Macaca fascicularis: one gene and its partners. The protein of the gene in region 2 interacts with the protein of the main gene of each other region in a pairwise test. Links are inferred from orthologs where the notes say so. Each region holds a gene or a part of one and is shown on either strand. Other genes may lie near its edges.

Region 1 (3,653 bases), on a different chromosome or scaffold from region 2:
GCTAAAAAAGAAGAAAAAAACCCACAAATACATAAGCCCTCTTATCCTCTCACATTCCCACAGCTCCTCCATCATGCCATGCTGGGGTGTCCCCCCCACCAGTCTGGGAGCCCTACCAGGAACCCATGACAACACTGCGGTTCCAGTGGGAAGGGCTTTTACAAACACTTTAAACCTGATTTGTTAAGTAAGTTTATTTGGAAGGGGAATGAACCTTTTTTGCTGTGACCGTTGTTTTGAAATATACCTTAAATGCAATCTTTTCTCCAACCTGAGGGGCAGCTGCTAACAGTGGTAACAGACTATAGTCCTTCTTCTGTGTCTCTACTGGATTCTGAAAAACAGTGTTAGTCATGTGACATCATTACTGGTGAGAAAATGTGAACCCATGACATGAACTCCACACACATTCTAAGGGGAAAAGGAGGAGGTAACTTACAAAAAATAATACTTACCTGGATAATAGTAGATGAATTTGTTACCACGTCATTTAATTGCTGTTGCCTCTGGTTGTCAGTGCTTCTATTTACAACACAGGAAACAGGATGCCCTCGTCCTCGACCTCTCCCCCGCATGCCCCGTCCCCTGGCTCCCTTCCAAGAAAAAAGGTTCTCTCCTCTACCCCATCCTCTTCCTAAACTAGCGGGGAGAGACACACTGGGAGAAGGACCAGGAGCCTGTCCGCCACCGTTTGAGCCAGAACGCCTCCATCCAGCAGCACCTGCACTCTGTGATGATGGCCCCGGGCCTGGACAACCTCTTCCTGCAAAAAGGCCTACTGTCTTTAAGAAACCCGCAGCACACTCCGGGGTGCTCGATGACATCAAGCATTGGTCATCTGACTCTGAACTAGAGTCTGAACTAGAAGATGTTGTTCCAGAGGTCTTGCCCTTGCTGGGGGTAAGGCTAAAGCCAGGTTTTGTAGCCAGTTTGTCTGCAGTTGTATTTTTGGTAGAGGGTTCTTCCTTTGATAACTCAGTTGGTAATTTCTCCGAGGAATTTCTGGCTTCCAAAGTGACTTTGCTGGGCTCATCACTGATAGATTCATCACAAGACTCCTCTGAGGAGGAACTAGGACTCTCTTTTGAGCAAACGCTTACACTACCTTTCCTTTTGGCTTTAACAAGGCTGTTTCTAGCAGAACCTTTTGGAGAACTACATCTCTGATTGGCCCAGTCTTTTACTGCCTGTACTTTAGGAGACTTGGGATTCTTGGTCTTTTTTTTATATTCACATTTCTCCTTTTTCTTTGGTGATTTTCTTTTGGTCTCTTCATTATCATCACCCACTGTGACACAGGTTGCTTTATTTTTTCTCTTGTTTTTTTTGCTGACAGTCTGATCTGTGACAGCTTTTGGTTCCAGATCCAAGACCTTCTCATTATTGTTATTGTTCTCTTGCCTCTTCCAGTGCTTCTTTGAATATTTGTAATCTGGTTCAGTTTCTTCATCCTCCTCTAACTGAAATGCCCGCTTCTTTGCTTTTCTAAGAGATAAATTACTGTCACCATTACTGATGACTACAGAATTCTCAGCAACTCCTCTCTCTTCTAATTTAACTCTGTCAACAGAACAAGAGAGAAAACTAGAGTGAGCAATTTGTAAACACATCTCCAGGACATAGTTATATACTGAGATGACTCTACAAAATGTAATTACCATCAGTCAATGAAAAAATGTCATATCAATTAAAGACAAAAGACTCTTTCTGGCAAAATGGCCCATACAGCATTACTCACAGTCAACTTTCAAATGACTAGTTTTATTGAATAGCTACTGCATCCCAAACATTTTTTATACGTTTTTCTCTAATCTAAACATCAACACGAAGTAGGTATTTTTAATTTTACAGATCGCAAAATTACAGCTCAGACAAGTTACTTGCCCCAAATCTAGAGCTGATAAGTAGCAGAAAGGCAATTCAAACTTCAGTTTGTCTAACTTCAAACTCACAATCTTTCTAAGATATGCATGTCACCTACCCTAAAAGGTGATAATGCTGATTATCCATTTTGTTTCAGAATGTGGGCTGCTTTCTTTAACAATATTTTACTCTTGTTTTAATTTAGGTGAATACTAAACAATTTATGTTCTCTGGGGTATTGACAGCCATCTGTACAATTCCATGACACTCCGTGAAGCTTAATTTTATGTATCAATTTGTCTGGGCTATTGGGTGTCCAGATATCTGGTTAAAACGACACTGGCTCTTTCCACACCACCACAGTGGTGCACATGAATGTCCTGGCTGATGCTCTTAAGAGCATCAACAAAACTGAAAAGCAAGGTAAATGCCAGGTTCTTATTAGCCCGAGCTCCAAAGTAATTGTCCAGTTTCTTTTTTTTATTTTAGTTTTTTTAATTTTTTTTTTTTTTTTTTTTTTTTTTTTTTTTTTTGAGACAGAGGCCCAACTCTGTCACCCAGGGCAAAGTGCACTGGTGCATTTCTCAGTTCACTACAACCTCTCCCTCCCAGGTTCAAGAGATTCTCATGCCTCAGCCTCCCAAATAGCTGGGATTACAGGTGCTCACCACTATGTCTTGCTAATTTTTGTATTTTTAGTACAGATGGAGTTTTGCCATGTTGGCCGGGCTGATCTTGAACTCCTGGCCTCAAGTGCCCAAGTGATCCACCTGCCTTGGCCTCCCAAAGTGCTGAGATTACAGGCATGAGCCATCGCGCCTAGCCCCATCATCCAGTTTCCAACTATAATGATGAAGCATGGTTACACTGGCAAGTCTGAAATCACTGGTGATCACAGAGCTGGGAAAATTGTTGTGAACCTCATAGGCAGGCTAAACAAGTATGGAGTAATCAGCCCCAGATTTGATGTGCAACTCAAAGATCTAGAAAAATGGCAGAATAATCTGCTCCCATCCCACCAGTTTGGTTTCACTGTACTGACAACCTTGGCTGGCATCACATACCATGAAGAAGCAAGACAAAAACACACAGGAGGAAAAATCCTGAGATTCTTTTTATAAGGATGTAATACATATTTACAAATATATTGCCTCAGTGGGAAAAAAAAAATTATGCTGGGAGTATGTGCAAGGTTGTTTCTGGATGAGATTAACATTTAAATTGCTAGACTGAGTAAAGTACATTGCTGTCTCCAATGTGGGTGGGGCTCATCCAACCTGCTGAAGGCCTGAATAGAACAAAAAGACGGAGTAAGGGAGAATTCGCTTCTCTGCCTGACTCTTCAAGCTGGGACATCGGTCTTCTCCTGCCTTCAAACTCGAACTTGAACTAGAAATATACCACTGGCTCTCCTTGATCTATAGCTTACCAACTAAACTTAGGACTTCTCAGCCTCCACAATCCTATAAGCCAATTCCTTACAATAAATCCCATGTCTGTGAGTGAGTGAGTATTTGTGTGTGTGTGTGTGTGTGTGTTTCTTACTGGTTACGTTTCTCTGAATAACCCTACTTCATCCAAAATGCCACTATAGGAAAGCAACTTCATTCCTCTATCAACTGACAACAGTTAATCCTAGAATGTGCAGTCTGATAATGATGGAAGTCTTGAGAGTGTCCTCGATGTTAAGCAAATAGTAAGTACTCAAAAATGCCTGTTGGCCAGGCACGGTGGTTCATGCCTGAAATCCCAAAACTTTGGGAGGCTAAGGTGGGAGGGTTGCTTGAGCC
Region 2 (3,442 bases):
TGAAATGGAAAATGAGTATTTGTATGATAGCAAATAAAGATCTAGGTTTCAGAAACTATAACCTTGATAAATTGATGTTCTTTTGGACAAAAAAATTTTAAAAATTAAAAAAATATAAACTATAACCTAATCATCAGCCCTGGATCAAAAATGAACATGATACTGGCTTATAGTATCAGGAATATGAAAAACAAAGATGCTCAAAATTAACCTGCAAAAAGAGACACTGATAAATTTTTTTTTTAAAAGTGGAGACATACTGGGAGACACTAAGGGTCCTTAATATAACCAAAGGGACAGAAAAATGGGACCTAGGAAGTTGGACAATTGAGGAAGATAATCAAAGCAGGTTAAGAATTCACTATGAATAAAAATCCTGACCAACTAGTCTCTCCAAAGAGGAGTCACGGTTATACTTCAGCAACTGAGAGAACAGATCACAAGAGTGACGTACACCAGAGATCATACTGTGATCTATATATCTGAAGACACTTGAGGTGACATTCTAGTGGTCAACAATAGACTACAGTACTGCAAGTTGCTGCAACTGTCAACTGTTACTCCCCTTGGTGACAACAGGGAGAAAATTGCTTTTAAAAACATAACTGCCAAAGCACCAACAATCAAAGTAATGAATGACAACTTTATTTCTCTTACACTTTTAAGGCTGATGAAAAACCTTCATTTCAATTGAAAAGTATGGTAACTGTATTTACTCATTAATTATTATTAAAGTTTTCTAAAACACAACTTGAAAACATCCAGCATGCATGTTTAATATCAGTACAATGAATTCAAGACCAAGTATACATGTTACATGCAGCAAAGCTAGATTACAAATTATCATAGTCATCGTCATCATCATCGTCATCATCATCATCTTCACGTTTTCTTTTCAATGCATTTGATGATTCATTGGCAGCATTTTGTGATGACACCATATTAGTGGTAATAAGAATGTTTTTGGACCCAATTAATGATGGATTAATCAGAACATTCTGAACTGCTGAGGTTGCAGGAATTGAAGCTTTTACAGCTGGAGACTGCGAAGTAGGCATCTGTACTGTAAACCTTTGACCTGTGAGGGACATGGGAGTCCCTACTTTAGTTGAAACAGACATGGTCTGTGGGGTTGGTGTGCCTAGTGTGGGAGTACTTGGTCTGCTAGTAACTGAACCAACACTTAACCGCGGGACTGTTATTCTTCCCGCAGAAGTTGATGCCTTTTTCTGTAAAGATTTCAGCCTATAGTTTGGAGCTGTTAAGCAGTATCTATCAGGTGGCAACCTAGGACCTGAATATGGCTTGATCAGTGGCAAAGGGGTTTGATTTCTTTGCCTTGCGATATCTAATAAAAAATCTCTTGGGGGAGGAGAGGTAAAAGACTGGTCAGCGCGGCACTGGATTGCCAATCGCACATCATCTGCATCAACGGTAGCTTTCTTAGCATGGCTTGAATAAATTTTTGCATCATCTAGAATTGTGGTCACATATCGGAAGGCAAACTCCAACATCTGATTTATAACTCTTGGCTCATATTCTGTAATCCCCATATCCTTCAGGATTTGTGCCATCATCTGTGCATCTTTCGGCATGCTCTTGGGAGAAGCCATCTTGCCAGACTCCATGATATCCGATGATCAGACTTTAGATCATTTGAAAAAAATATGTACATTAGATCAATCTGAAATAGTTACTTTAGTAGCAACTGTCAGGAACTTAAAAATTTTTTTAATCTATGTTAAACTGTAAAAAAATTTTTTAAATTTAAACCATATGTTTTCTTAATTTTAATGAGGCATACTTAAAATCTCTTTAATTTATTGAGTTCCTACCATGTACAAATCATTGTCAACTATAAAAAGATGAAGACACAAATAAGGGAGTGATAAAAGATTAGGGGAAAACAGGGTAAAATAAATAAAAACATCTATCATCTTAGAATATATGCAGTTGCATGCAAACCTCACACTAAGATACCACAGCATAGTCATGTCCTACACCTGAGCTCAAAACAATCTCTTTCCAGTGAGACCAATACACTCACTGTGCTCATATATATGTTCAGCAGTACCAAACCTTTGTTTGCTCAACTTGAAAACATTCTCCTTATTCACATTCTACCTCTCCGAAATCCAGTCTCTTCATAGGAGCCTTCCCAACTATTCACAAGAATTGCTAGCCATTTTCAAGGAGGAAGGGAAAATGCTCAAAATAACCAGGACATAGCATTAGACACTTAATATTTCTGTGGATTCCCTAAAAGAGTATATATTCTTTTTTTTTTTTTTTTTTTTTTGAGACGGAGTCTCGCTCTGTCGCCCAGGCTGGAGTGCAGTGGCGCCATCTCGGCTCACTGCAAGCTCCGCCTCCCGGGTTTATGCCATTCTCCTGCCTCAGCCTCCCGAGTAGCTGGGACTACAGGCGCCCGCCACCTCGCCCGGCTAATTTTTTTGTATTTTTAGTAGAGACGGGGTTTCATTGTGTTAGCCAGGATGGTCTCGATCTCCTGACCTCGTGATCCGCCCGTCTCGGCCTCCCAAAGTGCTGGGATTACAGGCAAGAGTATATATTCTTTAATGGCAATCTGTTTTTTGTACCTTCTGACAATACCCAGCACTAACACTCCACTATCAGACTTAAAACAAAACAAAACAAAACAAATCTAACACCAAAGTGTCCCTTACCTTCTCGAGCTAAATCACCAACATTAATGTATTTCAGTCCCGATTTTGACGCAAGTTCTTTGCCTAGTGTAGTTTTTCCAACCCCTGGTGTACCTGTAAGACAAGCCACAGAAAAATACTGTTTGTGAAATACTACTTATCACACTGCAGCCCACCTTGTGCCCTTCCTTTTTTTATTTCTGAGGCAGAGTCTCACCTGGCCTCTGCCCTTAAAGATCTTGATGACTGAAATGAAAAATTTCCTAATTAGCAATAACATGTAAAAAAAATTTTTTTTTTGAGACGGAATTTCGCTCTTGTCACCCAGGCTGGAGTGCAGTGGTGCGATCTTGGCTCACTGCAATCTCCACCTCCCAGGATCAAGCGAGTCTCCTGCCTCAGTCTCCTGAGTAGCTGGAATTACAGGTGCCCACCACCATGCCCAGCTAATTTTTGTATTTTTAGTAGAGACAGGGTTTCACCATATTGGCCAGGCTGGTCTCAAACTCCTAACCTCATGTCATCTGCCCGCCTAGGCCTCCTAAAGTGCTGGGATTACAGGCGTGAGCCACCATGCCTGGCCATATGTAAATCAGCATGTACTTCGATCTAATAAAAATTTTCCAAAGCTAATTGAATGTCAGAATATTACCCAGTGTATTGATTCTCCAGGGGTGGGGCTCAGCAAATTCTGACGCCAATTCAAACTGCCTGCTGCTACCATGGAACTACTCAGAATAAAATTAGCCACCTCGTGCTGGGCGCAGTGGCTCATG
Region 3 (3,653 bases), on a different chromosome or scaffold from region 2:
TGCCAAGACCATACGAGTGCACTATAAGCCTGGGCAATAAGAGCAAAACTGTCTCAAAAAACCAAAAAACAAACAAACAAGAAAAATAGACGTTGGCATGAATGTGGTGAAAAGGGAACACTTTTACACTGTTGCTGGAAGTGTAAACCAGTAAAACCACTATGGAAAACAGTGTGGAGATTCCTTAAAGAACTAAAAGTATATCTACCATTTGATGCCCAATCCTATTCCTGGGTATCTACCCATTATACGAAAAAGATACTTGTACACACAGGTTTAGAGCAGCACAATTCACAATTGCAAATGCACAGAACCAGCCCAAATGCCCATCAATCAACAAGTAGATAAAGAAAATGTGATATATATACCATAGACTACTACTCAGCCATAAAAAGGAACGAAACAATGGCATTTGCAGCAACCTGGATGGAACTGGAGACCATTATTCTAAGTAAAGTAACTCAGGACTGGAAAACCAAACATCAGATGTTCTCATTCATTAAGTGGGAGCTAAGCTATGAGGACACAAAAGCGTAAGAATGATACAATGGACTTTGGGGACTCAGGGAGAAAGGACTGGAGGTGGGTGAGAAATGAAAGACTACACACTGGATACAGTATATACTGCCTGGGTGATGGGTGCACCAAAATATCAGAAATCACCACTCAACAAGTAACTCATGTACCTAAACACCACCTGTTCCCCAAAAACCTGTTGAAAAAAAAAAAAGAATCTCATGGACTCCCAGAGAACTCACAGATCACATTTTGAGAACCATTGTTTTAAGAGAACTGAAAGGATAGTCTCTTAATACAGTATACTAATTGTATGCAGCCTAATTTCAATAAGCTTTACAAATTCTTCCTTCATGCTATGCTTTATTTGCAGTCCCTTCGTAAATGTGCACCTTCAAGTTATGCTTTAAATTTGCTTTTTAAATAATAAAGAAAACCAACAAAAACAACACTGTTTGTCTGAAAACAGATAAAATTCTAACATTTTAAATTTTAACAAAAATTATCTTTCTGTTCACCTTACTATTGGTTGCTATATTCTTTTAATTGTATTTTTCTGCCAATGTCCCAAAAGCATAGTCCTTACCTTTGCAAATTCTGGAGGTGGACTTTTCCCTCTACAGAGATTAGACAAAGCCCATACTGCATTCCGGGTCATGGTCAGGCGGTTTTGCTTTGAAAATAACCTACAAGCACGATGGTACAATGGTAAACTATATAACAGACAGTGATTATCTGATGACATAAATACTAAATAATACTTTTGATAAAGAGATGTCTTCAGACAGCTTTTCTCCAAAACATTAAAACTTCATTAATTCTGATGCAAGTAATTCAGAATTTTGGCACGGAAAAAGATAGGGTGCTGGAGGAAATGATCTATACAAGAAAATATCTGGAATAAAAAATAACACTAGAAAATCCAAAATGATTTCCAAAGATGTAATGCTTTCTGAGGAATCTCTTACATTTTTATTCTCAAAAAGGAAGAAGGAAGAAGAAACTTACTGCAAAAGAGGGGGAAGGATATTGCAGTCTAAGACATAGTCCCTGCACATGGTACTATCTCCAGCAATGTTGCCAAGAGCCCAGACTGCCTGTGAAAGAATCATTCATTAATAAAGGCTACATAGTTTAATTCCCTCATAATTCTTTCAGATGCCAGTATACCACAATAACACGTTCATTGGCGAGTCAAATGAAATAGTTGTAGGATTGGGGGGGGAAGATAAGTAGTATCCAAGAGTATACAATAAACAGAGGTTTTCAGTTTATTAAAGGAAAGAACTAATTCTTTTTTGTTTGTTTTTGTTTTTTGAGGCAGAGTCTCACTCTGTCACCCCGTCTGGAGTGCAACACAGTGAAACCCCATCTCTACTAAAAATACAAAATTAGTCAGGTGTGGTGGTAGGCGCCTGTAATCCCAGCTACTCGAGAGGCTGAGGCATGAGAATTGCTTGAACCTGAGAGACAGAGTTGCAGTGAGCCAAGATTGAGCCAATGCACTCCAGCCTGGGTGACAGAGATTGTAAGACAGAAAGACAGACAGACAGAAAGACAGACAGAAAGAAAGAAAGAGAGAGAGAGAAAGAGAGAAAGAAAGAAAAGCAAAGTAAAGCAAGAAAGCAAGAAAAAGAGAATTTTCTTGCTTACATAAGAAAACAGTGAACAAAAAGAAGTTTGTTTTCTGTACCCTTCTGCACAAAAGTAGCAAAGACTAGCCACTTTCTTTTTTTTGAGATAGGTCTCGCTCTGTTACCGAGGCTGGAGTATGGTGGTGTGATCTCGGCTCACTGCAGCCTCCACCTCCTGGAGCTCAAGTGAACCCTCCCACCTCAGCCTATCAAACAGCTAGGACAACAGGCGTGTGCCACCATGGCCACCTACTTTATTTTCTGTAGAGATGGGGTTTCACCATGGTGCCCTGGCTGGTCTCGAGCTCCTGGGCTCAAGCAATCTGCCCACCTCAGCCTCCCAAGTGCTGGAATTACAGGCATGAGCCACAGCAACTGGTCTACTTTCAACACTTGAAATTTCTACAAGAAAAAACCTCTATCAGTAACTGCTTACATGGTCTAAAAAAGTACATATACATGGCTTAAAGAATGTCAGGTTTGGAAGGGGAAGATTATTTTGTGTCTAAGAGAAATTCCGCCTACAGTCACTAAGACATTTTCTATTTGATTAAGACTAAATTTCTAGAACACTCCTTTGTGACAATCCATAGATTACCAAAGCCAACTGGCAAAACTCAGCCCCTTATTATGACTGAAGGGAAATACTGTTTCTTTTTTTTTTTTTTTTTTTTTTTTTTGAGACGGAGTCTTGCTCTCGTTGCCCAAACTGCAGTGCAATGACGCGATCTCGGCTCACTGCAACCTCCGCCTCTTGGGTTCAAGTAATTCTCCTGCCTCAGCCTCCCAAGTAGCTGGGATTACAGACACACACCACCACGCCCAGCTAATTTTTGTATTTTTAGTAGAGACAGGATTTCACCATGTTGACTAGGCTGGTCTCGAACTCCTTGTGATCCACCCACCTCGGCCTCCCAAAATGTTGGGATTACAGGCATGAGCGACGTGCCCAGCCGAAAAATTTCTTTCAGCTGCTTCCTTTTGTTTCATTTTTACCTGTTCCTGGACATCTTCAAACTCTGAGCTGAGCAACTCTATGAAGATAGGCACAGCTCCTGCCTGAATCACAATCCGGGTCTGAAGAGAATTTCCTGAAGCAATATTTGTCAGTACCCAAGCTGATTCAAACTATAAAGATAAAAATAATTTTCATTATCATTTTAGAATGTAAAAGCTTATTTACTTATAACAGTAACATTTTCTGTACATGAAAAAAAGATTCTGAGATCATTATTTGCACGTAGCCTATCAGTTGAGTACTTTATTAATTTTAAAAGAACATCCAGAAGAGACACCTCAACCTAGAAGAATATTCAGGGTGTCTAAAATTTCAGTTCAAGAAAGAGTAAACATGACGCCATAAAAAGAATGAGGGAGTGTTACATATGCTGATATGGGATGATCTCCCAAGATATACATGAAAACAAAATGCAAACAGTGTACATTAATATGGCATTATACCATATTTTCTAAAAGCATTAAAAAGGAATACATGCATTAATT

The links. The genes of interacting proteins can lie anywhere in the genome.
Region 1: the proteins of TAF9 (region 2) and COIL interact in a two-hybrid assay, tested with the Homo sapiens proteins (2 studies listed by BioGRID and IntAct). The link is inferred for Macaca fascicularis from reciprocal best matches to the Homo sapiens genes TAF9 and COIL.
Region 3: the proteins of TAF9 (region 2) and KPNA1 interact in binary tests that used the Homo sapiens proteins (3 or more experiments, as listed by UniProt). The link is inferred for Macaca fascicularis from reciprocal best matches to the Homo sapiens genes TAF9 and KPNA1.

What each region holds. Positions count from the first base shown.
Region 1 is NC_088390.1:49,770,158-49,773,810, reverse strand, and holds part of COIL (coilin), read right to left. Parts: intron 2,985-3,653; coding exon of another isoform or gene 2,712-2,984; intron 1,561-2,711; coding exon 456-1,560; intron 335-455; coding exon 248-334; intron 2-247; coding exon 1-1. Other genes in the region: small ribosomal subunit protein uS8-like, read left to right, coding at 2,712-2,984. UniProt on the Homo sapiens protein: Component of nuclear coiled bodies, also known as Cajal bodies or CBs, which are involved in the modification and assembly of nucleoplasmic snRNPs.
Region 2 is NC_088380.1:75,038,097-75,041,538, forward strand, and holds the end of TAF9 (transcription initiation factor TFIID subunit 9), read right to left. Parts: intron 2,781-3,442; coding exon of another isoform or gene 2,688-2,780; intron 1,646-2,687; 5' UTR 1,629-1,645; coding exon 834-1,628; 3' UTR 624-833; downstream 1-623. Other genes in the region: AK6 (adenylate kinase isoenzyme 6), read right to left, coding at 2,688-2,780. UniProt on the Homo sapiens protein: The TFIID basal transcription factor complex plays a major role in the initiation of RNA polymerase II (Pol II)-dependent transcription.
Region 3 is NC_088376.1:160,795,170-160,798,822, reverse strand, and holds part of KPNA1 (importin subunit alpha-5), read right to left. Parts: intron 3,279-3,653; coding exon 3,147-3,278; intron 1,614-3,146; coding exon 1,525-1,613; intron 1,203-1,524; coding exon 1,103-1,202; intron 1-1,102. UniProt on the Homo sapiens protein: Functions in nuclear protein import as an adapter protein for nuclear receptor KPNB1. Binds specifically and directly to substrates containing either a simple or bipartite NLS motif.